Linked DNA regions of Stegostoma tigrinum. The protein of the gene in region 2 interacts with the protein of the main gene of each other region in a pairwise test. Links are inferred from orthologs where the notes say so. Each region holds a gene or a part of one and is shown on either strand. Other genes may lie near its edges. The genes, in order: probable ATP-dependent RNA helicase DDX17, bysl, probable E3 ubiquitin-protein ligase MID2 and lzts2a.

Evidence for each region.
Region 1: the proteins of bysl (region 2) and probable ATP-dependent RNA helicase DDX17 interact in binary tests that used the Homo sapiens proteins (3 or more experiments, as listed by UniProt). The two-hybrid records come from large-scale screens. The link is inferred for Stegostoma tigrinum from reciprocal best matches to the Homo sapiens genes BYSL and DDX17.
Region 3: the proteins of bysl (region 2) and probable E3 ubiquitin-protein ligase MID2 interact in binary tests that used the Homo sapiens proteins (3 or more experiments, as listed by UniProt). The two-hybrid records come from large-scale screens. The link is inferred for Stegostoma tigrinum from reciprocal best matches to the Homo sapiens genes BYSL and MID2.
Region 4: the proteins of bysl (region 2) and lzts2a interact in binary tests that used the Homo sapiens proteins (3 or more experiments, as listed by UniProt). The two-hybrid records come from large-scale screens. The link is inferred for Stegostoma tigrinum from reciprocal best matches to the Homo sapiens genes BYSL and LZTS2.

The regions. Positions count from the first base shown.
Region 1 is NC_081391.1:823,317-830,467, forward strand, and holds the start of probable ATP-dependent RNA helicase DDX17, read right to left. Parts: upstream 3,004-7,151; 5' UTR 2,795-3,003; coding exon 2,748-2,794; intron 1,678-2,747; coding exon 1,509-1,677; intron 1-1,508. UniProt on the Homo sapiens protein: As an RNA helicase, unwinds RNA and alters RNA structures through ATP binding and hydrolysis.
Region 2 is NC_081374.1:14,519,631-14,527,427, reverse strand, and holds the start of bysl (bystin), read right to left. Parts: upstream 3,006-7,797; 5' UTR 2,846-3,005; coding exon 2,590-2,845; intron 1-2,589. UniProt on the Homo sapiens protein: Required for processing of 20S pre-rRNA precursor and biogenesis of 40S ribosomal subunits. May be required for trophinin-dependent regulation of cell adhesion during implantation of human embryos.
Region 3 is NC_081368.1:43,276,087-43,283,519, forward strand, and holds the start of probable E3 ubiquitin-protein ligase MID2, read left to right. Parts: upstream 1-4,411; 5' UTR 4,412-4,505; intron 4,506-7,433. UniProt on the Homo sapiens protein: E3 ubiquitin ligase that plays a role in microtubule stabilization. Mediates the 'Lys-48'-linked polyubiquitination of LRRK2 to drive its localization to microtubules and its proteasomal degradation in neurons.
Region 4 is NC_081373.1:6,413,819-6,420,911, forward strand, and holds the start of lzts2a (leucine zipper putative tumor suppressor 2a), read right to left. Parts: upstream 3,024-7,093; 5' UTR 2,800-3,023; intron 1-2,799. UniProt on the Homo sapiens protein: Negative regulator of katanin-mediated microtubule severing and release from the centrosome. Required for central spindle formation and the completion of cytokinesis.

The DNA.
Region 1 (7,151 bases), on a different chromosome or scaffold from region 2:
TTGTCTCTGCATTCTTGAAGTCTAAGATAACCTTCCCACAATGGTTCCAGGAACTATCAATTGCACTTGGTTGCTGTGTAAGCACACTTTTGTATAGTTGAACTGCCACTTTAACCCATATATTATATAGTCAGAAAAGTCAACAGTCCGTCAGCTTCTCTTGATCTGTTCAGGAAATCTAATGATCTGGACCCCGTTGCTTCTAGCTTTCCAATCCAGAGAAAGTCACCCATTTTAGTATTTTAGGACCTGATTGAATTACTATACGTTTGATTACATTTAATTTTATTCATCAGTTTTCTCTATTCAATTAATTTTTTTTATCATGCTTTGTGATATTACCTACACTGTTCACAATGACACCTCTCTTTTGCATCATTGGCAAAATCTGGGTATGTGACTTTCTGCCCCATCATGAGTCATTATTATTGATGGTGAATAGCTGAAGCTGCAAAACCACCTACAAAATATCATTAATCCTGCTCATTATCCCTACTCTCGTTTTTTGCTGCTTAATCCATTTCCTAACATGGTCAATAATTCTCTTCTATTTCATTAGCTGCAACTTCAGTTAACAATTTCTTTTGACGATCTTTGATGAAATGTCTTCAGTCCACATAAAAAAAATCCATATGCAACGACATTCTTTCCTTTACTTTAATCACCTCTTCAAAAATTCAACTCACCTACACCACATGCCAGTAGAAACCAGAGCACACATTATAAAAATTAATAGGTTTCAGGATACTGATGATATCAAACAGAAAAATACGGCAGAGAGAGAACTGAGCAGAAACGATCTGTTTGAATGGTAGAGCAGGCTTAATCGGAACACAGGTAGGTGATTCGACCTATATTCATTAGTCATGACTGACTGTTCACCTGTGGGGTTATTTGATCAGCTAAAAGCTTTGAAGTTGTATATTGTTTTTAAAAAAAAACTCCTGCAATTTTCCCCAACAGATGTTAGGCTAACTGGTCCAGAATTTTCTGGCTTTCTTCTCAGCTTTAAATCGCCATAATTTTTTCAATTTAGAAGGAAGGTTCTGATACAAGAGAGTTGTAAAACGTCACAGTTAAGGCCATGCAGTATCGTCAATTAAACAAAATTTGAAAACCACTGGTCTTGGGATTTGTCATTCCTTTCGACCATTACTTTCTTCAAGACTGCTATTTTGCTAAGTTTATTTTCATAACAGCAATTCAATACTTGCAATTTCCAGCACAATGATATTTTCCTTTAATTTCCTAATTGACAATTGTGATATTGGCAGTGACAGTTTAGACAATAGACAATAGGAAGGGTCACATGATAACCACATTAGGGGAATGAGAAGCAAAGTTAGATACAAAGATAGTTATTTTATGAGGAATTGACTCAAAATTAAATCAACAGTTGATATTTCATATCGCAGGATTACAGCAAAATTCTAATATCAAATTAAGTTAGTTACATCTCAGTTAACAACTCACTCAACTTTTGCAACTAGATCCATTCAGATACCCACCGGGCTTAGTCGAACCACTTCAGGGTGCTCCACATAGAAGTTCTTCTCAAATTTTGGCAACTCCTCCAGGTCCCACTTCTTCTTCCTCAAGCGTTCTCCAGGCTGTCCAAATTTCTTCCCAAGTGATGGGCCCCCACGGCTAGGCCCTCCACCAAACCGTGGGCCATTACTAGTGAGAGGAGGTTGAGTCTTAGTCAGAAATAGGTACAACTACAACCCAGCCAGCAATCCACAAATGAAGCCCACATCAGATGTTACATGTGAATTTTATTATTAGTACAGCTAGTAAGTACTATAGGCTACCCTGAGTAAGAAGATTGGAACCATTAAAAAAAAACATTGCCAAGGTGTGAAATTATGAGAGGGGCTTAAACAGGTAAGTGATATAGGGAGGACTGGAGGAATTAGGTCACGGTTGAGTCATCGTGTCATCCAGGGAGGGCGACTCTACGCCTGCGACAGTAAAATGGCTGAACCAAAGACAAGCCAGTAATGGAGAAACACAGCACGGCTGCTCAGACTAGGCCTCGCTGAACGGCTCATTGACGTACGTTACCGGGCGAGAAGGCGAGGTCGGGCTAGAGTCACATTGATTGGGTCAAACACCTGTCAAGCAAGACCCAAACGGGACAGACGGACACCAAAAAGATCCAATCAAATTTAGAGAAAACAGTCCCCGACCAATAAGAGTGCAGTGCCAACGGAAGGCGGGACCACTAGCTAAGCCGGACCCCCTCCATCTTCCCGCAAGAACTCCGGAACCCTCCTTTCGGCCGGCTGACAGAGACCCACATTCATCATCCCATCCTCGCCAGCACACAGGCCGCGAAGCATCGCACCTACATCTCGACCGGGAGGTACATCTCCTGAGTCATCCCACTAATTCCTGGGCATCAAAGTCCACGACCTTTCAGATCCCTTTAACGGCACACACAAGCCCAGATTCCCTGCACCCCGATCAACGGGGGGCGGACAGGGACCCAGAACACAACCACCCTCAACCCCCGGGGTCACTCAAATACCGGACCCCGTCAAACGACTACGCGCAAATGCTTCCTCGCCAGAGATCACGGGTGGCAAAGTCAGCAGCCACGATTCGCCGCCTGGCCTAGGCGGGGCAACAGACCTAGAAACCAGGCCTGGTGGAAGTGCGAGGCCTCTTCCTTGCCAAACCCGCTCCTTGCAAATTGCTTCTTTTGACCCGGAGTGGTAAGTGTGCGGTCCTGTTCAGCCTCCTACCTTCCTCGGTCTCTACCGCGGTCACGGTCTCCACCGAATCCTCTCATTTTCGCTCGATTCTCGGCGTCGGGGAACAAAGAAAAGCCGCAGTTCCTGCGATAGGTTCAGCAGCAACTTGCCGGAAGAGCCGACCCTCCCGCTGGATTCTCGGTTGGGAACAGCCCCCTCCCGCCGGATCCTGAACAGGAACAGCCGTACTCCGCGCCGAAACCCGAAACAGCTGTCCTTCTCCCTCCCGCCGGACCCCAGTCGGGAACACCCCTTTTCCTCCGGACCCCTGTCGAGAACAGCCGCTCTTCCTCCTCCCGCCGGACCCCTGTCGCGAACAGCCGCGCTTCCTCCTCCCGCCGGATTAAAGTCTACCTAGCAACAGAAACGTCACATCCTTGTCTGTTCGAGCATTCAAAGGACGGCCTGCGAAATAAGGCTTGTTTATCAAAACCTACTGTTAATTGCCCAGTTCTGACTTCATGTAGTTTTAGTTTAGGAAACTGTTGCGTGTATGTTAAACACCACCTTTTCCAAAGGCATTAGGAAGCGATGTCAACAGCTAAGTACTGGAAGGTTAACACAAAGGTGTTTTATTGTAAGGGGAATGGAATATAGGAAGTTTCCAGGGCGTTGGTGCGACCGCATTTGGACTATTGTATACTCTACCTATGAAAGATGATACTGGAAGTAGTTTATCCGAAGTTTACCCAGTTTGATTTCTGGAAGGAACAAAAACAAAGTTGCTGGAAAAGCTCAGCAGATTTGACAGCATCTTTGAATGAAATAAAAGAGATAACGTTTCGGGGCCGGTGACCCTTCCTCAGAACTTGATTTCTGGATGAAGGGGCTATTTCATGCGGAAAGTGTGCGTCTAAATCGATTGCAGTTCAGAAGGAGATAACGCGGTGTGAAGCTGAATGAACGCATCGGAGCAACAGGAAAGCTTGACGTTTCGCGTCCCGACTCTTCAGAAAAAGGGTCCCGACCCGAAACGTCAAGCTTTGCTGTTCCTCTGATGCTGCTTGGCCTGCTGTGTTCATCCAGCTTCACACCGTGTTATCTCAGATTCTCCAGCATCGGCAGTTCGTACTATCTCTGTGGCAGTTCAGAAGGATTTTGATTGGGTGAATGGAAAGAATCCTTCCCTCAGGAAGACTGGAATTAGGAAATACAGTGTAAAATTAAACTGTCCTATATGGGAACAGTGATCTCCCAGGACTGGAAATCCATGGAACTCTATTCCAACGAGATGGATTTATAAAATAATATAAACATATTGAAAATTCTTAAAATGCAGGTCGATTGACTCCCTTGTCAGGAATAACACTTCACTTGACCAAGGAACAGCACTCCAAAAGCTCGTGATTTCATATAAACCTGTTGGATGATAACCTGGGTGTAGTTTGACTTCTGACTTTGCCCGCCCCAGTCCAACACTGTCACCTCCACATCAATAATTTAAGGGTAAGGGGACAGGAAAGTATGCTATGCTGAGGCCACAGTCAGATCAACCAAGATTTTATGGAATGATAGAAAGGTTTGACAGTTCAAATGCCCGACTCCTGTACCTAATTTGTATGTTGGTATTGAAATCGTGGAGCCAGCATTTCCAAAATTTGCTGATTTCCACTTGTAACCAGGATGACAGCCTGAGTTTAAATCAGATCCAGAATTAGATTCAAAGGCCCCAATAGTAAGGGGTGTGAGGGGGCTGCAGAAAAGACACTATCGAGTCATACTGCACGGAAACAGACACTTTGGTCTAGTCCCACTTGCCTTCGCTCGGGCCATATCCCTCTAAACTTTTCCTATTCATGTACCTATCCAAATCTCTTTTAAATGTTGTAATTGTATCTGCCTCTACTACTTCATCTGTCAGTTCATTTCATATGCGAACCATTCTGTGAAAAAGTTGTATTTCAGATCCCGTTTAAATTTTTCTCTTGCCCACCTTAAAAATATGCTGGCCAGTTTTGAACTCCTCACAATTGGGGAAGGACCTTGTTATTCACCTTGTCTATGCTCCTTATGATTTTATAAACCTTTATGAGGTCACCCCTCAACGTCCTACATTCCAGTGAAAAAAGTACCAGCCATCCAACTTATCCTTACGACTCAAACCCTCCAGTGCCGACAATATCCTGGTAAACCTTTTTGAATCCTCTCTAATTTAATGATATCCTTCCTACCACAGGCCAACCAGAACCTTATAGAGTACTCCAAAAGTGGCTTCTCCAATGTCTTGTAGCACCTTAACATGACATCCCAACTCCTGTACTGGTCACTGCAATGAAGGCAAGTATGCTAAATGCCTTCTTAACCATCCTGTCTGTGACTTTCAAAGAACCATGTACCTGAACCAAGGGAGCCTCTCAGCACCAGGGACCTGGGTTCAATTCCACCTTCAGGCGACTGTGTGGAGTTCACACATTCTCCCTTGTCTGCATGGGTTTCCTCTGGGTGCTCCAGTTTTCCTCCCACAGTCCAAAGATGTTCAGGCTAGGTGGATTGGCCATGCTAAATAGCCCACAGTGTTCAGGGATGTGCAGATTAGGTGGGTTATGGGGAATGGGTCTGGGTGGGATGCTCTGAGGGTTGCTGTGGACTTGATGGGCTGAAGGGCCTGTTTCCACACTGTAGGGATTCTATGATGATCTATGAACCCCATGGTCTCTGTTCAAAAACACTATCTGTGAACCTATCATTCACTGTATAAGTCATGCCCTTGTTTGTTTTACCAAAATGCAAAACCTTGCACTTATCCAAATTAAAACTCCATCTGCCACTTCGCACTCCACTGGCCCAATTGATCAAGATTCCTTCAGAATCTTCAATAACCTTCTTCACTCAACTGCACCACCAATTTTGGTGTCATCTGCGAACTTACTAATCATGCCTCATAAATTCTCATCTAAATCATTAATATAAGTAAGAAACAAAAGGTGGACCCAGCACCAATCCCTCTGGAATGCTGTTGGTGAAAACAAACCTCTGCTACCACCTTCCGTGTCCTACCATTAAGCAAATTTTGCATCCAATTGGCAAGTTCTCCCTGAATCCCATGTGATTTAATTTATTCATCATTCTACCATGTGGCACCATTTTAAAGGCTATACTGAAGTCTATGTAGACAGCATCTACCACTCTGCCTTCATCAGTCCTTTTGGTTACATCCTCAAGAAACTGAATCATATTTGTGAGACATGATTTCCCTACACAAAGACATGTTGGCTATCCCTAATCAGTCCTTGCTGCTCCAAATGCATGCAAATTCTTTCCCTCCAACAACTGATGCCATCGATTGACAGGTCTATAGTTTCCTGGTTTTCCAGCCTTTCTTATTTCAGAGCACAACATCAGCCACCCTCCAATCCTCTGGCAACTCGCCCGTGGCTGTAGATGACACACATATCTTTGCCAGCGGCCTGCAATTTCTTCCCTAACTTCCCATAACATCCTCGGATTGACTTGATCAAGTTGTGGAGATTTATCCACCTTTATGTTTTTCTAAGACCTCCAGCAGTTCCTCATCTGTAATGTAGACTGTTCACGAGACATCAATATTTATTTTGCTGAGTTTCCATTTCTTTCTCCACTGTAAAAACTGATGCAAAATATTCATTTAGTATCTCTCCAATCTCCTATGGTTCCACATATATATGACCTTGATTTGTATTTTCTCCCTAGAGGCTCTTTTGCTCTTCATGTACCTGTAGAATCTCTTTGAATTATCCTTAAGCTTATCTGTCAAGACAATCTCATATTCCCAAATGCCCTCCTGACTTCCCTCTTAAGAATGCCCCCACACTTTTTATTCTCTTCAGGAGATTCACTTGTTGTCTTTACTTAATACATGACTCCTGACAAAAATGAAGAAACTAAACTGTTAGGAAATATCAAAGCTTATGACTGAAAGGCACTCCATGGTTTTTTTTTAGATAGATTTCACCAAGCCTGTTAATGTAGTGCCATGTAGGAGATTGTTCCATAGGAAGTAAAACGTAGAACATTGATAGCCTGGCTGTAGCAGTGGTTGGAGTTGTCAGAGTGCTGGATAGTCACTGCTGAAATTCCCCAAAAATCAGCACTTTGTCATCCACATTGTTCCACTTTCAAATTGCTATTTTTGGACACTTTTTGTCTGTATATCAATGACTACATGGAGTTAGATTACATTGTGAGATATCAAGAACAAGTTGATCAGATCGTGGTGTCCAGTTGAGAAGAGCAAATAATCATCAATTTTGTCAACTACAATGAACAGGCAAAAAGGGAATAAATGTTGAAATGATAATTAAATGATGTTGGTCTACAAGGGGGCTAGGGTGTGTGAAATATAGAACATAGAACATCGAACAATACAGCGCAGAACAGGCCCTTCGGCCCTCGATGTTGCGCCAACCTGTGAACTAA
Region 2 (7,797 bases):
GTACAACTTACTGATACCACAAACTAAAAAGAAAATGATCAGATTAACAATCTCCATCCAAATCTTAACTTTTTTTCCCCCTCAATTCCTTTCCATTTCAGCTGCTACACATTTTTACCATTTTCTGATTGTACTAGAGAATCCTGTGCAACAGGCAATTAGGAAGGGTAATGGTACGTTAGCCTTTCTCCATGTTAAGAGGATGTGAGTACAGAAATCGTGAAGTCTCATTTCAATTATACAGAAACTTGGTTTGACTGCATCCAGAGTGCACAGCATGTCTAGTTTTGGTGCCCTTACCTTAAGAAGGGTAATACCACTATAGAGGGGGTGCTCTGAAATTCTACCAGATCTCAAAATGTTCAACTAATCTTGAAGAGAGAGACTGAGGAAACTGTGATGACATTTTATAGAGTGAGAGGTCATCTCATTGGAATCTACAAAATAGTTGAAGTGAAGGATGGGAAAGATGCAGACAAGGGGTTTCCTCTGGTTGCAAAGTCTAGAAACAAGAGTCACAATTTGAAAATAATGGGGAAGCCTATCAGAACTGAGATGAGAAGTTTTTTTTTAAAAAAAACTTTGGGGGAACATGAATCTTTGAAAATGTATACTCCAGAGAGCTGTGGAAGCTCATTCACTGCATTTGTTTGATTGACAGATTTTTCAAGACCCATGATATTAAGGAGTAAGAAGATAGTGTGGGGGGGAAAAAGACATGGAATTGGACAATTAGCTGTGATCATATTGAATCTACAGCAGGCTCAACAGGCTGAATAGTCAACTCCTGTTCCTAAACTCCAAAAGTCCAAAGGATCCAATAGCAAAACAATACATCATTAATGTCCTAAAGTATTAGTCATTAACAATACAAAGAAATTTCCAGTTTTTACAAATAGGTACATAACAACTACTTGGAGAACTAACTCTTCACTTACAAACTCATCAGGCCTGGCAACGTCTACAGAGAGAGAAAAAAATCAATCAATGTCATCGGGAAGGCGATCACTGACGTTCTGGGATTCCAAGTTTGAATCCTGCCATAGCAGAACTTTTTATGAAAAGATCCAGAATTAAGAATCTCCTGACGACCATGAAATCGTCATCGATTGTCGGAAAAACCCGTCTGTTTCACTAATGTCCTTCAGGGAAGGAAATCCACCATCCTCACCTGGTCTGGTCTACATGTGACTCCAGACCCAAAGCAGTGTGGTTGACTCTCAATTGCCCTCTGAAATGGCCTAGAAAGCCAGCCATTCAGTTGTACCAATCGCTACAAGATCTCAAAGAAATGAAACCAGATGGATCACCTGGCATCAGCTTAGGCACCAGAAGAGACCATGGCAGAAATAGCCCTGTAGACCCTGCAAAATCCTCCTTACTGACAACTGGGGGCTAGTGCCAAAATTGGGAGAGCTGTCTCACAGACTAGTGAAGACAGCCTGACAAAGTCATACTCACGGAATCATCAGTAGTAACAGTGTGTAGCATCTACAAGATGCACTGCAGAAATTCACCAAACATCCTCAGAGAGCACCTTCCAAACTCATGACTACTTCCATCTAGAAGGACAAGGACAGCAGAGATATGGGAACACCCAACCACCTTCAAATCCCCTCCAAGCCACTCACTGTCCTGACTTGGAAATGTACACTTTTCCTTCACTGTTGCTGGGTCAAAATCCTGGAATTCCCTCTGACAGGAGGTGGACTATAGCGGTTCAAGAAGGCAACTCACTACCACCTTTTCAAGGGCAGCCAGGGACAGAGAAGAAATGCTGGCCAGCCAGCAATGCCCACATCCCACAAATTAATTTTAAAAAGGTCCAAATTAACTCTTCTTCAGGGTTGTCGTCCATGGAGAAGAAGCTAAAGAGGGCCTTCAAGAGGGTTTTTTTTAAAAAAAGGGTTTGAAGACAATATTGCACATAAACAGAAAGTTATCAATGACTTAAGGGTGAAGGGTCCTAAGACAAATACCAACAGAGTGAGGTGACTTATCTGTAAGGCAGAATCTGCTAGGGTGACGGATACAGGTTCAATTATAGCTATTAAAAAGGAACCAAATTGTTTTTTTCCTTCACCAGCAAGAAAACAGCAAATGCAATTCAGGCTCTAACTTGATTTCTCATTGAAAGTGGTACAGACCTGAATGTTCACTTCTGCGCTCAACAAAGAAAGATAGTTTGTATGCATCAACTGTGGTCTTAGAATCACCACACCACGCAAGAAATGTAAATAGCAGGATTGTTAGATTCTGTAAAGAAATGGGTTATTATTTCAACTGAACACATCAAAAGCACCTTCAGTCGGGCCATTCGGCCAACTAACTACTGGCGTTCATGCTTCAGACGATTTTCATCTAAGTTGCTCAGCATTTATTTCTTCCCCCTGCAGTTATCCAACTTTCCCTTAAATTTTGACAGAATTCCAGATCATACGATATTCCAACACTTGTTTAGCCTGGTTAACTATTTTTCGAAACTGCTTTGGCAACCTTGGGTGATGCGGATTTAATACCAAACCTGTTACTACACTTTGAGACCCCCGGCTCCCGCGCTTTCTGGCCGTACGGTGCAGTCAAACCTACCCAGGACCGTGGCTTGGGGTCTCTTCTTCTTGCTGATTCCATGCTCTGCCTCCAGCTCCTCCTGCTGAATCCTGGCCTGCTCCAGGATCTTGCGGGACAGTTTCTCGTCCACGTACTCATCGTCAGCCTCGTCGCCCCGGCCCCGCTTCTTGTTGCGGCTGATCGGTTTGACAGCATCTTCCTGCAGGATCTGATCGGCCAAGGCCAGGCCCCTGGACTCCTTTAGCCTGCCTTTAGCCGCCTTCGCTTTCGGCATCACCCCGTCCAAACTAAAGCACCAACCCCTCCTCAGACACGTTGAAACAAAAACGGAATCGTACCCCTCCTTTCCTAGACGCCGGAAGGAAAACACCGGATCGAAAAGCACTGATCACGTCTGCCCGACCCACGTGGCCAGTGCACTGACTCCTGCGCCTGCGCGACGTGTATCAATTTCAATAAGACGCACCACGTTCCATAATTACATCGCCAGTTTCATTCTACTCAAGTGCTCCTTCCTGCCTTTCTCCCACTTGGTCTCTTTCCATACTTATTGCTTCCTTTCAGTCGGAAGCAGGCCTTCCAGCCTATCCTGCTGATGCTGGCCCTTTGAAAGAGCTCATCCAATCTGTCCTGTAAATTGTATCAGTGGTAAGGGGAACTGCAGATGCTGGAGAATCCAAGATAATAAAATGTGAGGCTGGATGAACACAGCAGGCCAAGCAGCATCTCAGGAGCACAAAAGCTGACGTATCGGGCCGAGACCCTTCATCAGAGAGGGCGATGGGGTGAGGGCTCTGGAATAAATAGGGAGAGAGGGGGAGGCGGACCGAAGATGGAGAGAAAAGAAGATAGGTGGAGAGAGTATAGGTGGGGAGGTAGGGAGGGGATAGGTCAGTCCAGGGAAGACGGACAGGTCAAGGAGGTGGGATGAGGTTAGTAGGTAGGAGATGGAGGTGCGGCTTGGGTTGGGAGGAAGGGATGGGTGAGAGGAAGAACAGGTTACGGAGGCAGAGACAGGTTGGACTGGTTTTGGGATGCAGTAGGTAGAAGGGAAGAGCTGGGCTGGTTGTGTGTTGCAGTGGGCGCAGGGGACGAACTGGGCTGGTTTTGGGATGCAGTGGGGGAAGGGGAGATTTTGAAGCTGGTGAAGTCCACATTGATACCATTGGGCTTCAGGGTTCCCAAGCGGAATATGAGTTGCTGTTCCTGCAAGTTTTGGGTGGCATCATTGTGGCAGTGCAGGAGGCCCATGAAGGACATGTCATCTAAAGAATGGGAGGGGGAGTGGAAATGGTTCGCGACTGGGAGGTGCAGTTGTTTATTGCGAACCGAGCCCCCGCCACAACCGCCCAAAGAGGATCCCCCTCGTTCTCACACACCACCCCACCAACCTCCGGATACAACGCATCATCCTCTGACACTTCCGCCATCTACAATCCGACCCCACCACCCAAGACATTTTTCCATCTCCACCCTTGTCTGCTTTCCAGAGAGACCACTCTCTCCGTGACTCCCTTGTTCGCTCCACACTGCCCTCCAACCCCACCACACCCGGCACCTTCTCCTGCAACCGCAGGAAATGCTACACTTGCCCCCACACCTCCTCCCTCACCCCTATACCAGGCCCCAAGATGACTTTCCATATTAAGCAGAGGTTCACCTGCATATCTGCCAATTAGGCATACTGTATCCATTGTACCCGGTGTGGCTTCCTCTACATTGGGGAAACCAAGCGGAGGCTTGGGGACCGCTTTGCAGAACACCTCTGCTCGGTTCGCAATAAACAACTGCACCTCCCAGTCGCGAACCATTTCCACTCCCCCGCCCATTCTTTAGATGACATGTCCTTCATGGGCCTCCTGCACTGCCACAATGATGCCACCCGAAGGTTGCAGAAACAGCAACTCATATTCCGCCTGGGAACCCTGCAGCCCAATGGTATCAATGTGGACTCCACCAGCTTCAAAATCTCCCCTTCCCCCACCGCATCCCAAAACCAGCCCAGTTCGTCCCGTCCCCCCACTGCACCACACAACCAGCCCAGCTCTTCCCCTCCACCCACTGCATCCCAAAACCAGTCCAACCTGTCTCTGCCTCCCTAATCTGTTTTCCTCTCACCCATCCCTTCCTCCCACCCCAAGCCGCACCTCCATCACCTACCTACTAACCTCATCCCACCTCCTTGACCTGTCCGTCTTCCCTGGACTGACCTATCCCCTTCCTACCTCCCCACCTATACTCTCTCCACCTATCTTCTTTTCTCTCCATCTTCGGTCCGCCTCCCTCTCTCTTCCTATTTATTCCAGAACCCTCACCCCATCCCCCTCTCTGATGAAGGGTCTTGGCCAGAAACGTCAGCTTTTGTGCTCCTGAGATGCTGCTTGGCCTGCTGTGTTCATCCAGCCTCACATTTTATTGTCCTGTATATTGGACTGGGGCAAAAAAAACAGAAATTGCTAGAAAAGCTCAGCAAGTCTAGCAGCATCTGTGGGGAGAAATTAGATTAGATTCCCTACAGTGTGGAAACAGGCCCTTTGGCCCAACAAGTCACACCACCCCTTGAAACATTCCACCCAGACATATTACCCCATAATCCACACTCCCCTAACACTACAGGCAATTTAGCCTGGCCAATCCACCTAGCCTGCACATCTCTGGACTGTGGGAGGAAACCCACACAGACACATGGAGAATGTGCAAACTCCACACAGACAGTTGCCTGAGGCTGGACTCAAACCCAGGTCCCTGGTGCTGTTAGGCTGCAGTGCTAACCACTGAGCCACCATGCCACAAAATCACAGTTAATGTTCAGGGTCGAGTGACCCTCCCTCAGAATGCACCCAGTTAGACTGGGATTGTTTTCCTTAGACCACAAAGAGCTCATTGAGGTCTACAAAATTATGGGGTCATAGAAAAAGTAGGTAGAAACATCTTTTCCTCTTAATAGTGTGGTTAATAGCCGGGGTAGATGACGGGAGGGACACAGCATTAAGGTAAAAAGCAGGAAGTTTACAGGGGAATTTCTTCCAGTTGGGTCGGTGTCTGGAAATTATTGCTTAAAAGTATGGTTTAGATGGGAACCCTTAAGATATTTAAAAGCATTTAAATGACCCCTCGAAATACCATTACATACTAGGCTATGGGCTATGAACTGAGTGCTGGAAAATGGGACTGGACTGGATAGATGCATGATGACCAGCACAGGACACGACGGGCTAAAAGGTCTTTTTCCCTGTATAAGGTCTCCATGGGTCGAATGATGCCTATTGTACGAGGTTTTAGTCAGTTTTACTGGCATCGTAACATTCTGTCTTCAACTCAATGACCCAAGCCCTTCTAATCCTAATTTCTTGTACTTCATTGATTTTAATCACTATATGGTCATATCTTCCCTAGGCCTCCAGGCTCAGAAATACTCACCCTACACTTTTCCGCTTCTCTATCTCCCTTTTATTTTAAATTCTTCTTAAAACCTATTTTTTGACAAAATGTCTGGGCTCCAATATCGCACCATGTGGCTGAGTATCATACTTTGTTTTTATAATACCCTTCCGAATCAACACCTCCTCAGAAACGTTGAAACAAAAACTAAATCATACCCCTCTTTTCCCAGATCCCGAGGGGAGGGAGGAAAAAAAACACTGGATCAAAAAGCACCAACCACTTCTGCCTGACCCACGTGGCCAATACACTGCATTTTGCACCTATGTGACATGTATCATTTTCAATAAGACACACCACATTCCAACATTCCCACAGTCAGTTTCATTCTACCCATAATGTTTTATGACATTAAAGTTTCTATATAAATACAAGTTGCCCCCTATACTCACCTTTGGTTCCTTTACCAGTTTCCATAATTAGCAAGAAGGGTCCCGACCCAAAATGTCAAGCTTTCCTGCTCCTCTGGTGCTGCTTGGCCTGCTGTGTTCATCCAGCTTCACACCATGTTATCTCAGATTCTACAGCATCGGCGGTTCCTACTATCTCCATGATTAGCAATCCCAGTCCTTGCCCATTGCTTAAAGACTTAAAGACTCGATTCTTCTAAATGGACAAATGGACTTCAGAGTTCAAGAAGCTGGCTCACGACCACCTTCATAAGAGCAACCAGGGATGGGCAGTAAGTGTTGGCCCAGCCAGGGATGTTCACATGCCATGAGTAAATGAAAAAAATCTCCACAGTCTCATTCAAAACAAGACAGATTCTCCCAAAGGCTCCCCTTCCTATCATTTTTTCAAGCTCTCACACTTCTTTCATATCCAGCTGGGAGATGAGAATTTGATTTTAAGACCCAAGTTGTTATGATTTTGAAATGTGCTGCCTGATTGGTTGAAGGAAGTATTTTTAAAACTTTGAAATGTAATTACTGTATAGTTCTATAATGACTTGAACAGGCAAAAATAGCAGGGCTGTGGGAAATGAGCAGAAGATTGGGATGAGGTGAATTGCCCTTCCAAAGAGGCTGTATAGTCATAAACCAATTTGGATCAATTTGGCAGCTGCCTCTTCGCTTCAATCAGTATCGTGCTACCTTGTTCAGCAAGTGGAGAGATAACATCAAAATGTTAAAGCTGTTGGGAACCCATTGTGTCAATATGCTTCTGCTGCAGCACCATTTTGCATGTCTGTTAACACTTGTAGACATGAACATATATCATGTAAGTATTTTGTTAAGATGACAACATATCAGAACTTTGAGATACAGCAAATTGTGGATGCTCTTCTATTTAGGATATGGCGGATATGATAACATTTCAACACTTGCAATGTATTCTGATTACCTTGTATGGATCAGATACAAACTTGGTTTATTTGTCTATTCTGACAATAAAAAGTACTTGCAGATGGAATCTTGGCTGATTCCTTCAGTTCTGTTAATTGCTGATTTGGTGCTAACATTTACTTGTTCCAAACTACACTGATTTGTGCATCCATATGCAAAAGTACTTTTAGAAAGTAAGTCACTGTTTATTGTCAGTAGAACAAAGCCTAAGGGGTATATTTCATTTAAAGTAATTCCCCAAATTTTATTATGTGTTATGATTTTATTTCCTTCATTATTATTCCAAAGTGGGAAATAACCTTCTACTTCTGCTAAATTGCACTTCCTTCCTACAAGAATAAATGTTTGTCCCCATAGAACAATATATATCTTGAGTGGTTTCTGGGGTGAAACAAGGACATTATGTGCATTTTTATTAAAAATCTGTATACTTTTCAGG
Region 3 (7,433 bases), on a different chromosome or scaffold from region 2:
GAACACAAATTTAGGGTAATTACCAAAGTAATTATTAGAGGTCAGGTCTTTACACAGAAAACGGTTAGAATGTGGAATTCTGTGCAACAAAGCTTTGTCAAAGGGTTGTTAATAAATTAATTGAAAGGCAATAAATTGTTGCTTGAAATGTTGTAAGTGAGCAGGAGAGAGGGATTACATAACACAGCTCATGTGGGGAACAACACAGATGCAGTACTAATGAGCTGATTGGTCTCCTCTCCACTGTAATTTTCTCTGATTTTGTATTAGTAAAGTCTTAAATCAAAACACAACAACCTCTTTGGGTTGAAACTTAGTGGTGAGTGTTTTTTGGAGAGGTATAAGTTTTGGCAAGCTCCCTGGAGGGTTTCTCCCACTTACTAAATTCACCTCATTAGCCACCTACCCTACCTCACTGGTGCCATTTTTACCCAATTCTCACTCCATTCCACAAATCACCACTGCCAGAATAGCCTGGAATGCACCAGCTTCCCTGGTGCCGCTGTTATGTTTACAAGGCGATTGTGCAGCTAGACAAGCACTGTCTGTCTACAGCTGCCCTGCGTGGTTCCTGACGTTTGCCCTGGAAATGGTAGACAAGGGGAAATTTCTACCTTGCTTTCTGGGCAGTGACCTGGAGGTCCTGCTGGATGGGGTGGTGCAGAGGCAGTCAAGGTCACAACACCAGACCACATCAGCCTGGTCCAAGTCAGTGCCCCCTCAACTGGCTGGAGGAATGTGCTGTAGGAAGAAGGCCAATGACATTCTCCACTCCTCCAGTGCAATTGCCACTATCTCATCTCCAATGTTTCAATACTGCTCTTAACTTATTATGCCAGGGGCCCTTGTCTGAAAACTATGCCCTGTGAGTTGACTGATGTCAGCTACAACCATGATAAACTTCCCTGGCTTTTTGACTGTGCTAAACCCATATGGTAATTACAGCAGTACTGTGAACTGAATATCTCTGGGTGAAGGACAAGTTCCAAAAAGGTAAGGCAAGTCCATGTAAGGCAGGAATGGTTTGACCATCGGGTGAGCTTGATATGAATCAGGGCTAATCGGATTCAGGCCATGAATTAGGTATCTGTTTCTGAGGGCAAAGTGTCCAGAACTACATTCAACATTGTCATTACACCCTGAGGTGCAATATTGATGTGCAGAAGTGTCCTTTAAGTGGATTGAAGATGCATCATGAGGGCTTGATGGCTGGCACCTGTTGGATACCTGTGGCCATGGGGTGATAATGGCCAGTGCCCATGGAGTGTGCCTTGAGATGCTGGTGTTTGCTGCTCAACATGCAAGTCCTTTGGAACAAGTGGTGAGCTGAAATCAGCAGGTTCTCCTGATTGTCAGCAGGTATCTGCTCTGACTTCCATGTCAAGAATTGCTGGCAGCCAGATTGTTTCAAGCCATGCAAGCAATGGATAGCTACTTATTAATGAGGTGAGTTCTGCAGTTAATATGACTGTTTACAGACAATAATCCTCCCTAATGGGCAATTCACAACTGCCTCACAAGCATCTTGCCTCAATGCCTGAAACTCAGTTAAAAGAGAAAGTGAATTATTCCTGATGTGATAGACATTTGTGGACTTCTTATGTGATTCTACCACATTTCACACTTTTACCCACATTGTTCATGATCTTATAACATAACATGTGTTTGCAAGTTGCAATGTGCAGAACTTAATTGGAATATGGACTTAAATAGTGTCACTATGCAATCAAAATAATAGTAAAACTAATAGATGCTATAGTTATTTTATGAAAATGGAATAGCAATTTCAAGGGAGGACTGGATATATTGTCAAATCCTAAAGTTGCTGTCCAATTTACACTTCTCCACTGTCAGTCGTGTAAAGGCATCATCCTGTCCTCAGCTTCCCTTTTATTTGCATTTTGCTGTATTTTTTCATCAGCTGCTGTGAAAACCCAACACAAAATAATTCCATGTCAATACAGCATAATTTACTGTTTATGTTAATGATTGTCAATTAACATCTAAACACAGAAAGTGACATAAGTATGGAGTCTTGTTCCTTCAGATTTTGAATAAGTTGGGGATATTTTAAAAATGTCAAATTTTTTTAATAAAGTATTTCTTTTCAGTTTCCTTTTCTCTCGTCCTTTCTCTTAATCCAATCTGCTTTCCCTCCCTTTATTTCTCTTCTGTACCTGATTTAATATTGAATTCATCCCTTTTTTCTGCAGCCTCTTTCTCACTCATCCCTGTTATTTTTTCTCAATTCTTAGATCTTATTAGAATGCAGCAAATGTTATCAGTAGCACTTATCAATCAGTTCTCAATGTCTATCTCCCACCGTTATCAGCTTGCACTTTCAACAAAGTTCTAATCAAAACATTTTGAGGTGAAGATTCGGTCTAACTAATTATCTGCTGTTAAGTATCATGTTACATCGAATTTTGGCCTGAAAAACAAACACGCACCTTAAAGACAAAAGCTTTGGTCACCCCTATCTTGTTTCCAATACTTTAATGATGAACTTGCAAACATCTGTTTACATGATTGTAGACTTCCAGGCAGGTCAGGAATGCTCGAGATTGACAATCATTACAAATTCACCCCGACATCTAATCTTTGCTATCTCTTTCAGGCAGTCGTGAGATTCTGAGCCTTCCACCTGCCTATATCCTTGGTAATTTCAGCCCTAGATATACAGAAGACCACTTAGCTGTGTGCAGCAAGATATCTGTTATTGTTTATCTGAGTTAATGAGTTGCATTTGAATGTATTTACATCGGGATTTAGAAAATATAATTTTGCAAGTAGCATATGGCCCTGCATATTATCACCATTTAGGGTGTTTTAAACCCCATACTTTAAAATAACAATAAATCTTTACATTGGCCCCCTTCTCCAATTTCCCCAGCTACTCCCCACTGTCCACTCCCTCTGCTTCACAGCCAATGAATTAACTCATAAGTGCACAACACGAATTAGAGCTGACAGAGGGATAGAGGGCAAGTGCCCAGATTTAACGGCTAGCCTGTACCAACCGAGTTGATCCTACGTGAGGTACTTCAATCAGCACCACTGACCACCAGAAGAGAAACATTCCCACAACAATGTGCAGCTAAGTATGAGAGTAGATATCAGGTCAATGTGCGGCAAATTTGATTGATACTTGTATTGGAAATGGGCCATGTCTGAATGATCAAGCTACAGAAATGATGTAGAACTGTACCTAAATAGAAATCATTTTATTTCTCTCTTTTGTAACATGCCTTTCACGATCTTAAGAAGTCTCGTTGCAATTTACAGACTCGAAGCGCTTTCAATGTATAAACATGGCTATAATTTCGAAGATTGAGCATCCAGCTCTCTCGTAATCAAGATCACATTGGATCAATGTTTGGATAACAAAGTGTGGGGCTGGATGAGGGCCTAGGCCCCAAACATCAGCTTTTGTGCTCCTAAGCTGCTGGTTGGCCTGCTGTGTTCATCCAGCCCCACACTTTGGATTCTCCAGCATTTGCAGTTCCCATTATCTCTGATCACAATGTTTGGGTAATCTGTCTTCTGCTTGGTGACGTTTCAGATAAGTGGGAAGAATTGTCCTCTTCTTTGAAGTAAAACAATTTTTGGGGATCTTTTACATCCACCTGAGAGGGGACGCAGAGTCTCTGATAGCACCAAATAATTTGCAAGACAATACGTCTGACACAACAGAACTCCCTCACCACTTCGGTGAAGTGCTAGCCCACATTATGTGCTCATGTTTCCTCTAAGGGCTTTGAGCCCATGCACTTTTTACTCTGCAGTGAGAGTACCAGTCACAGTAAGTGAACAAGGGCAACATGATCTGGAAAGAGAAATATACATTTAAAACATTAACTTATTAAATCGAAAAAAACTTCCATCCCCATTCGAGCATCACACCACTACAGCCGATTGCTTAAGGCAGTAGAACCTCCTTTTCAGAAAAAAAATTGATTGCAAACAATTTAAGAATTGATTTCCTCTGAGACCATTAAAATGGATGCTTTGTGACCATATATAGCAGCAAGAGAATACCATTGTTTTTTTTCCACAAGCCAGAATGTTTCCAGACAGTTAGATTAATAACACAAAGAATGTTGGTGCTTCCGACAGAGCTCGAATTAGGAAAAGGCAATCAGTGAGAAGGGTGGGAGGATATCCGTGGTCCAGCCAACTGCAATGAAGCAGCATTTTAATTGATCCCAGCTGCTCGTGAGAGGAAAATCATTCTAGCAGCTTTAAATCACGTGTCCCCAAGGAAATGATTCACTGAATCTCTGCTCCTGCCTTGCTATTTGATGATAGGGTTGGGAATGGGGTGGGTGATACATTGAAGCTGAATGAGCATAGTTTGTAAATCTTTGTGAAGAGAGACCGGAACATAGCAAAGGAACTGAACTTCGTTCGCGTTACTGCTAGGAGGCAGCTGACGGGAAAACGATACTGGGAGGGAGTGATTAACACAGATCCTTGGTGAGGAGCGTGCACGCTGACAGATAAAGGTAAGTGGTTTTTTCTTATTAACATAAAGTAAATAACGGAGAAAACTACACCTACCAGTGAGAGAATTGCAGTAGAATGCTGTTTCGGTGATGAAATTATTATTGTGTGCCTAGCTTAAATTCAAATGTCTTGTAAAACGCTTTTTGACGGCAGGTTGCTAAGGGCATATGCAAATATTACTTATGCACTTCTTCAGCCTGGGGTTCTCGAATGGAAAAAATGAGCACTTTTTTTTTTAAAAGACTGGAATTTGATAGTGAGTCAATGTTAGGATTTCTCTTTTTCAGCACCAGTGAAAGAATTATCAAATGAGACAGGATGTTTTGAAGGACAAGTTGGATTTCTCACTTCAACAGCACGGTATTAGTTACAGATCCGTATGGTTGACTGACTTTCTGTATGTTACTAAGTAGTACAAAGACACTTGGGCTGGCAAATCGTGTATCCACAGTTTTGAGTTTTTTTTAAAAATCACCGTTTTTATAGAAAGGGAAGGTAATAATTGAATTTTAATATTGCAAAAGAACTGGTGTGCTTCAGAAATTGCATGTTAGGCTTTCTTATTTTGCTTTTTTTTGTCTCTACTCCATGCCTCTCGAAGGCTTGTTTTAAAGCTCAATGCTGTATGTGCAAGATGTTCTAGTCCTGAGCTGCTACTTAGCAGAGTTGTTTTTCTGTAGCTACATAATGGCTTGAGTGGCAGCAGGGGTTAATATGACTACTTATTACTCAGGGCTGGAAATGCTATGTTGACCCAAGAAAACATAGCCTTGTAGCCAGCCAATAAGCTGGGAAGTTAGATAAATCCACTATCAATCATTGGAGTGGATTGGACACAGTCACAACATTCTTCTTTTTTTCCTTTCCTCTCCTTCTTCTCTTCCTTTCTCTTCTCCCCTGCCCCCCCCCCCCCCCCCCCCCCCCACAATTGAACAATCTTTAAGGCTTGTGCTTAAATGTCTATGTGAAAGACTGCTTTCTTTCACAGAGGGGGAAAAAGCATAGATATAAAAAAACTGCAGGAAATATGAGGTTTGGTTGACCATTTGGCCCTTCAAACCTGCTGGCTCTTGGCTGATCAACCTCAACTGTTTCCCTTCTATTCCAAATATCCCTTAAGCGGTGCCCACACTGTGTAGCATTGAATATATTCAATAATTTTGTGCAAACAGTGCAGCTGAGAATTCCAAGTATTCATTACCCTCCTGACGGAGGCAATTTATGCTCTTGGCACTGCTAAATCTGCCTGTTTTTCTGAGACTGTCCTTCCAGTTAAATGCATTAAGCTATGAACTTACCTTGTCAAACACTTGAAGAATTTTCTCATTTAAAACCCACCCTGCATAGTACTTAATTTGCTATCCCTGAGATTTCCTGTAAATGGTCATTCCAACTGAAAGATGGGTGTGAGGAGCATTTGTCCCCAAGTAAAAGTCCTACTGTAGAAGATGTAACAAATAATACATCCTCTGTTTTCCATCCCAATGTAGGAAGTGCGGAAGTTACTCTTTTGGGAGGTGGGAATCCTGGTGGTGATGACTTTTGTAACTGAGGGTTGCTGTCCATTGTTAGTGGTGAGATGCATGTGTAACTGCAATGGGATAGAGATGATGGTTGCTCTTGCCCTTGTGGACCATATGTGTTTATTGATGTTGATATTTCTGGATGTCCCTTATGACACAGGACATGGCCACTGAGCCAGGTTGGCTCAGTCCATTGGCGTGGCCTCGTTTGGCAGTCAAAGGAGGAGACATTTCTGGATTGCACTTGTGTGCACTGGAATGCAACTGAATTTTAAATATGGGACCAGAGGTCAATCCTTTGTATTGCTCACCATTTCACTTCTCCCTGTTTTAGTTGCATAATTAGGTTGAAAAAGTGAAAACTGCTTCAAAGAATTTGCTCTGGAATGTGACAGAACACATGTCATGGAACTCACCACAATATTGTAGCTACCAATGAAGTTTCAGCCTAAAGAATGAATGGGGTTGGGAGTTTCTACTGAAAGAGAAGAATGGTCAATAGTATGGTTTTTCTGCAGGGGGTGGGGGCTGCAGATGCAGGACAAGATAAAACCCTTTAGTGTTTTTGAGGTCCTGATCTATGGCACTTTGCCTGGACAAATGATGGAATGGGCACTTAATTTGGAGTTAAAATGGCTGGCCATTCATAATTGAGTAAATGCATGTTGGCACTTCAAAAAAGCATGAACAAAACCATCTTGTGGAATTTAGATTTAGCTAAAATTGTTTTATTTCAATAAAGCCTTGCATGTTAACACAGTGAGTAAATGGGGGTGGTGATCTGCCCAAACTTGGAATATGAGGCTTCCTCCATTCATTCAAATCCTGATCTCTTTCTGCACACTGCTTCATTTCTGAAGCACGTACAGAGGAAAGGATGGAAACTAACAAGTGTCACCTTCTAGAACTAGTGAGGTGGTAGAAGCACAGTATGTCAGTCAAGGGCAGAGTGAATCCTAGGACAAAAGCCTCATCTTTCCCTTTCTGTTCAAGAGGAACAAGATAATTTAATCACTTATCACAAACCTTATCCTGTGTATTTATGTCTGCTGTCAGCTTTTCTGTAGTCTGAAAGCCAATGACCACTTCACTCTATCTTGGATCATAGAATCTCTACAGTGTGGAAACAGACCATACCTCCCTCTGAGGAGCACCCACCCAGAACCACCACCCGCTTCCTTCCCTACCTTCTCAAATGAGAATCAAAGGTTCCTATAGAAAGTTGGTTCAATGCCTAAGAGCTAGGGAAGACATTGCTTGGGCCCCTTGCTGAGATGCTTCCACCATAGACTGCCACTTGTGAGGTGCTGGAAGATTTGGATGTTGGCAATTGTGGTGCCATTCATCAAAGCAAGTGAGGAAGGAAAAAGAACTAGGACTCATGAGACTGACGTCAGTGGCAGG
Region 4 (7,093 bases), on a different chromosome or scaffold from region 2:
ATGTTTGCTGATAAAATGAAGCTAGCTGAATAGGAAGCAATGTGCAAGACATAAAAATGCTGCAGTGGGATAGTGACAGAATGATTCCACAAGGTGGTGGTGGATGGGGTATAATCCAGGAAAAGGTGAATCCGAGATAACAAAGTGTGGAGCTGGATGAACACAACAGGCCAAGCAGCATCTTAGGTGCACAAAAGCTGACGTTTCAGGCCTAGACCCTTTGTCAGAAAAGCTTTTGTGCTCCTGAGATGCTGCTTGTCCTGCTGTGTTCATCCAGCTCCACACTTTGTGATCTTGGATTCTCCAGCATCTGCAGTTCCTACTATCTCTAAAGGCGAATTCTCTAGCTTGGTAGTAGAAATGAAGGAGCAGCAAATTTTTGAAACACAGTAGTAAACATTGATGTGAGAGGGATCTGGAGATCCTTTTACACGAGTCATAGAACATTAGCATGAAGGCAACTGGAAAGCTGAACCGTTTGCTTTCTCTGCATAGGAATTGGAATATAATATTACAATCCATATGGTTTGAAAGCAGGCCATTCAGTCCAAGAAGTCTATACCTACCCTCCAAAGAGCATCCCACCCAAAGCCCTGTAAACCTGCATTTCTCAAGTCCAATTCACTTAGCCTACACATCCCCGGACACTATGGGCAATTTAGCATGGCCAACCCACCTAACCTGAACATCTTTGGTCAGTGGGAGGAAACTGGAGCACCTGGAGGAAACACATTCAGACATGGGAAGAACGTGCAAACTCCCACACAGACATCGCCCGAGGGTGGAATCGAACCTAGGTCCCTGGTGTTCTGAGGCAGCAGTGCTAACCACTGAGCCACCGTGCTGCCCCTAGTAACAGCAAGAACATCTTGCTCCAATTATATACGGTGGTAAAAGCCTATACCTGGAAGTACAAAGGTACAATTTTGGTCACCTTACCTAAGAGGGGTATGCTTGCATTGGAGTGGATGCAAAGGTTCAACAGATTGATGCCTGGGACAAGAGTGCTGGGCTATGAGGAACAATCAAGTTAGTTCGGGCCTGTATATTCCCGTGTTTAATAAAGAAGCAGTGATCCTGAGTGACCCCCTCTTTGAAGGGTCTAGGCCCAAAACGTCAGCTTTTGTGCTCCTGAGATGCTGCTGGGCCTGCTGTGTTCATCCAGCCTCACACTTTATTATCAGTGATCCTGAGTTACTGTTTCTCCCAGCTGCAGAGTCTGAAGCTATGGATCATAGTCTTAAGATAAGGGGTCAGCTATCTAGGGCTGAGGTGTGGGAAGGATTTAGAGGGTTACGAGTAATTGAAAGTCTGGATCCTGTAAGACGTGGACGAACAATATAGTCTTTGGGACGTGAGCATTAGGGGATAAAAGGGCTCTGGCAGAAATGGGGCGGAAAAACTGAGCTGTGGGGAACATTCTGCAAAAGAAAAACTTATCAGCCTTACAGACTAAGGCACATATGGTCTGCTCCTATTTATGTACATTTCATTTGCATTGCACCTTTCACAACCAATGGGCATTCTCAGAGCACCGTATGCAATTAAATTACTCCCTTGCCAGTCACTGTTGTATTGAGGTAATGTGGCACCCAAATGACAGTGTGATAATGACCCGATAATCCGATATAAGGCATGAACATTGACCAGGACACTGGCGAACACAGCCTTGTTGCTGTTCGAAACCTGCCTCAATCCTTTACTGTCCATCTGAGAGGGCAGGCGGTACCATAGCTCAACGTCTCATCCAAACATTGGGACCCAAGCGTTGGTCTCGACTGTGGCACGCAGCAGAGATGCTTGAGCCCGCAACTTTGTGACTCAAGAGTGTGAGAGTCACCCACTGAGCCCCAGCTGAGACACACATATAGGAGAGGCAGTCTATTCATACCAACTTCTCTAGCTTGTTGAATATTAACAGGCACCTCCCAACCTACAAACATCTCAGCAATAAACAAGTCTTTCTGATTTAATGAGGGGTGCAGCAATTGCAATGGGGAAGGGGGTGTGGTCAGACCACTTTGAACACAACTCCCCTACCCGGGAGACCAAAGGCCAATAGAGAACAGGCTGCTGTTATACAGAGACCGACATCAAGAGTATCTGTACATTTCCACTTTACAGGAAACATTATCCAGAAACGTACGCCAAGATCTTTCCCTTCACCTCTGGGAAATTACAGTCTACCACAACAGCACCAAACACATTATTAATAACGCAGATCCAATTTACTCGCTAGCTTCGTGTTTTATGTATTAAGTTATTGCCAGCAGAAAAAGAAAACACGACCAGCAAAAACAAAAATTTAGAAATTTATGTAGGAGCTAAAAACACAACCCTGGAATCCAGCTCAGCAGAAATTCTCCACAGAAAGAGGAAAAAAAACGTGTTTCTCTCTTGTTTTTCAACAAAGAGTTTATTCTGTACCTCTAGAAATTTCTCTATCTCCTTCTTTTCAGGGGTGAGAGCCTAGCCAGGAGCATGTTAGGGGTGGTCTGGAAGCAAAACTGCCCCTCAGATTACACACCGCGCCAACCAAGCAATTCAGAGACTCCATTCCAGCAGAAATAAACTGGGTTTGCAGAGAGATAATAAACTTTTACTCTCAGTCTCGTAAAACAATATAAGTAGGCTTGACTAATGCATACGATTTGTTAAATAGCTGTTGCGCCCAGTTCCAGGATAATTTGTCATTTTTCTCTCCCCCACAGACACATATCAGGGCCTGGAGGGAGAAGTGTGTGGTTTTACAAGGAAAACGACAAGCACTATCGACCCGTACTTAAACCACACACTCACCGTCTATCGACTCGCCCTCTCCCCTACTTTCAGTTGCGATCCAACGAGCCGCTTTCAAAGTCAGTTCAAATTTCTCTCTCTTTCCTCGGTCTAGCCCCACACCTTTACGCCGCTAGAGCCGGCCAGCATGTTTCTGTTCGATGCATATGCACATACAGAGTGGGGAGAAAAAGGGCCGATGACAAACAAACACGCAGAACTTCCTTCAGTTCCCTTCAGCATCTGTCAGTAACAGGATTTGCTTGTCAGAGTCCCACCCCTTTTTTCTTCTGCAAGGGGAGGGATATTGGAGAAACCTATCGCCGCTGCCTTGGGAAATCATCAGTCATGACCAGTCTGTGCTTCCTGAAGCCCCTGGATCCCTGAAATCTGTGGTTCTGTTCTGCTTTGGTTCAGTTGCTGAATCCCACCCTCTGTTTCACGTTTGAAACTTGACACATCAACATTAAGGAGTTTGCAATAATGGAGACTGAATCCCACGTTTCAGAAAAAAATGCTGAAATGGAGATGATTCTTTTCTAACAATAAATAAATACACGAGATAACAAGGTGTGGAGAGAGATAATGGGAACTGCAGATGCTGGAGAATCCAAGATAACAAAGTGTGAAGCTGGATGAACACAGCAGGCCAAGCAGCATCTCAGGAGCACAAAAGCTGATGTTTCGGGCCTAGACCCTTCCCTTCACTTGTCCCTAAGAGATTGACCCACAACTGTTTATTTCTCCTACCCCATTGGAGAGATGTACAAAAATGAACAAGAATTGTGGCCCCGGGGCGGGGGGGGACAGTGGTCGGGGTAGGGGAAATGGATCATTCTGGTTTATCTCTGGCAGGCAAAAGTCGTGGTTGGATGGACTTGGAGTGACAGCCAGTTCTCAGACCCCCATGGACAAAATGTTTGGGAGATGGTGCCACAGGCAGACTGTCAGCATCAAGACCTCCCTGCATTGATATAGCAGCCTTTAGTGCAGTTCCTGGGGCTGCACAGGGCTATTCAAGGTCAAATTCCACACTGAATCAGGTGACAAGGTGCTGGACAAGACATTGAACGTGTGGTCAAGGGGATAGGTTTTTAGGAGGTTTGAAGGTGGGACGGGGCAAGGTTGGACCAAATAGTGTCTGATACAGAAGCTAAATCGACATGGTGGTGAAGATGCAATTTGAATTCATTAAATATCTGGAATTAAAAATCTAATAATAACCATGGATCCATTGTCGATTGTCAGGAAAAACCCATCTGGTTCACTATTGTCCTTTAAGGAAGGAAACTGCCATCCATACATGCACCCACCTCTACATGAAAAACCTGCCTGTTAGGTCCCTTTTAAATCTTCCCCCTCTCACCTTAAACCTATGCCCCACCCTGGGAAAAAGATTTTGACTATTTAGCCTATCCATGCCCCTCACCATTTTATAAACCTCTATAAGGTCAGCCGTCCACTCTGATGCTCCAGGGAAATCAGTCTCAGGCTACTTAGCCTCTTCCTATACCTCAACCCTGGTAACATCCTTGTAAATCTTTTCTGAACCCTTTCAAGTTTCAAAACATCCTTCCGATAGCAGGGAGACCAGAATTGCATGCAATACTCTAAAACCAATGTCCGGAACAGCCACAACATGACTTCCCAACTCCCATACTCAATGTATTGACAAATAAAGACAAGCATACCAAACTCCGTCTTCACTACATTGTCTACCTGTGACTCCACTTTCAAGGAACTATGAACCTGTATTCCAAGGTTTCTTTGTTCAGCAGCTCTCCCCAGGACCTTACCATTAAGTGTATAAGTCCTGCACTGATTTGCCTTTCAAAAGTGCAGCACCTCACATCTATCTAAATTAAACTCCATCTGCCACTCCTCAGCCTTTTGGCCCATCTGATCAAGATACCTTTGTACTCTGAGGTAACTTTCTTCGCTGTCCACTACACGTCCAATCTGGTGTCATCAGCAAACTTACTAACCATACCTCTTCTGTTCACATCCAAATATTTATATAAATGACAAAAAGCAGTGGGCCCAGCACCAATCCTTGTGGCACACCACGGTCACAGGCCTCCAGCCTGAAAAACAATATTTGACCACCCCCTCTGTCCTCTCCCTTCAAGTCCTCTCCCCATCCCCCTCTCTGATGAAGGGTCCAGGCCCGAAACGTCAGCTTTTGTGCTCCTGAGATGCTGCTGGGCCTGCTGTGTTCATCCAGCCTCACACTTTATTATCTCTGTATCCAAATAGCTAGTTCTCTCTCTACTCCATGTGATCTAACCTTGCTAACCAGTCTACCATCAGGAACCTTGTCAAATGTTTTACTGAAGCCCACATAAATCACGTCCACCGCTCTGCCCTCATCAATCCTCTTTGTTACTTCAAAAAACTCATCAAGTTAGTAAGACACAATTTCAACATACAAAACCATGCTGACTTTCCCTAATCAGTCCTTGCCTTTCCAAATCCATGTAAATCCTGTCCCTCAGGATTCCCTCCAACAAATTACCCACCACCAATGTTAGGCTTACGCTTTATAGTTCCCTGGCTTTTCCTCATCACCTTTCTTAAAAAAATGGCACCATGTTAATCACGCTTCAGTCTTTCGGCACATCACCCATGGCTGTTGATGATGCAAATATCTCAACAAGGGGCCCAGCGATCACTTCTCTAGCTTCCTACAGAGCTCTAGGGTACACCTGATAATAGTCCCAGGGATTTATCCACAATTATGCGATTTAAGCCACCCAGCAGCTTCTCCTCCATAATAATCGCTATTTATTTCCTCACATTCTACATCTTTTTCCACAGTAAACATGATGTAAAATGCTCATTTAGTATCTCCCCCATCTCCTGTGGTTCCACACATAGGCGGCCTAACTGATCTTCGAGGGGCCCTATTCTCTCCCCAGTTACCCTTTTGTCCTTAATGTATTTATAAATCCCTTTGGATTCTCCTTAACCCTATGGGCTGTGAGCGTCACTTCTATTTATTGCCTGTAAGAGCCAACCATATTGCTGTAGGTCTGGAGTTACATGGAGCATAAGGTAGGGAGATGGTAGGAACTGCAGATGCTGGAGAATCTGAGATAACACAGCAGGCCAAGCAGCATCAGAGGAGGAGGAAAGCTGACGTTTTGGGTTCAGGCCCTTCTTCAGAAATAAGGTAGAACTTCAGTATAAGATAGAACTTCTTCACCCAAAGGTTTGTGAATCTGTGGAATTCCCTGCCCAGTGAAGTCATTGAGGCTATCTTATTGAGTGTTTTTAAAGTAAAGGTAGATTTTTGAACAGTAAAGGGAATTAAGGGTTCTGCTGAGCAGATGGGTAAGTGGAGCTGCGTTCACGGAAAGACCAGCCATGATTTGATTAAAGAGTGGAGCAGGCACTTTGCTTTCCTGAACCAGGATGGGTTTCTCCACCTCCTGAAATTAAATACCTCATTCCAGATTTTTTAACTCAAATTCAAATTCCACTTTAAACCCAGGATCCACAGAACTTTACCTCTGGCTTAGCGTTAATGCCACTAGGCCGTCACCTCCTCTGTTTCTGATGACGCTGTAGTGGAACAGTTTGTGGGGGTCTGTAATGCGAACAAGGAACAGCAAATTCTGGGAAACAATTAAAAGGGAAGGAGTGGTTTAACGCAGTGCCTGATGAGCAGTCTTTAGTGTGTAATTAATGAATAAAATCCTTGAATCGTGGAGCCCATGATGAAAAGATTGAAGATTAATCTGGAGCTGAACTCTCAATGCTTTTCACTGGTGCCCCGATTCCCCTCCCATGCTAATGGATTTCTGGTAAGTCTGCTCAGAAAAAATGATTAGCTGACAATTATGTAGCTGGATCAGGGCTGGCTTTCATTCTTCATGGGCCACTCCAGGCTGCAGGATCTCTTCCCTCGGAAACCGTCCGAACACAAGATGAACTTATTATTCAATGAGCCAGTTAATTATAAGCTACAACATGTGTTGAATTATTTATTTGAATAGCCTGCCTGTTCTCCACACTTGTCTTTTAATTGAGAGGACAAGGTTTGAGTTTGCATATTCTCCCTGTGCCTGCATGGGTTTCCTCCCACGGTGCAAGGATATGCAGGTTAGGGTGTCATTTGAGAGTTGCGGGGTGGGGGTGTAGGTTCTTGAGTCCCTGTGCAGTGACAGTGAAGCTCACACAAGGCGTAGGAAGGGTGCGGAAGGTAATAGTCAGCACTCTGTGCTCCAATGCCAGGACTGATATCTTCATTTCACTTGCTGCAACATGGAAAGGATCTGACACCTTTTCATGGGGCATTGCATTCTTGTTGTGG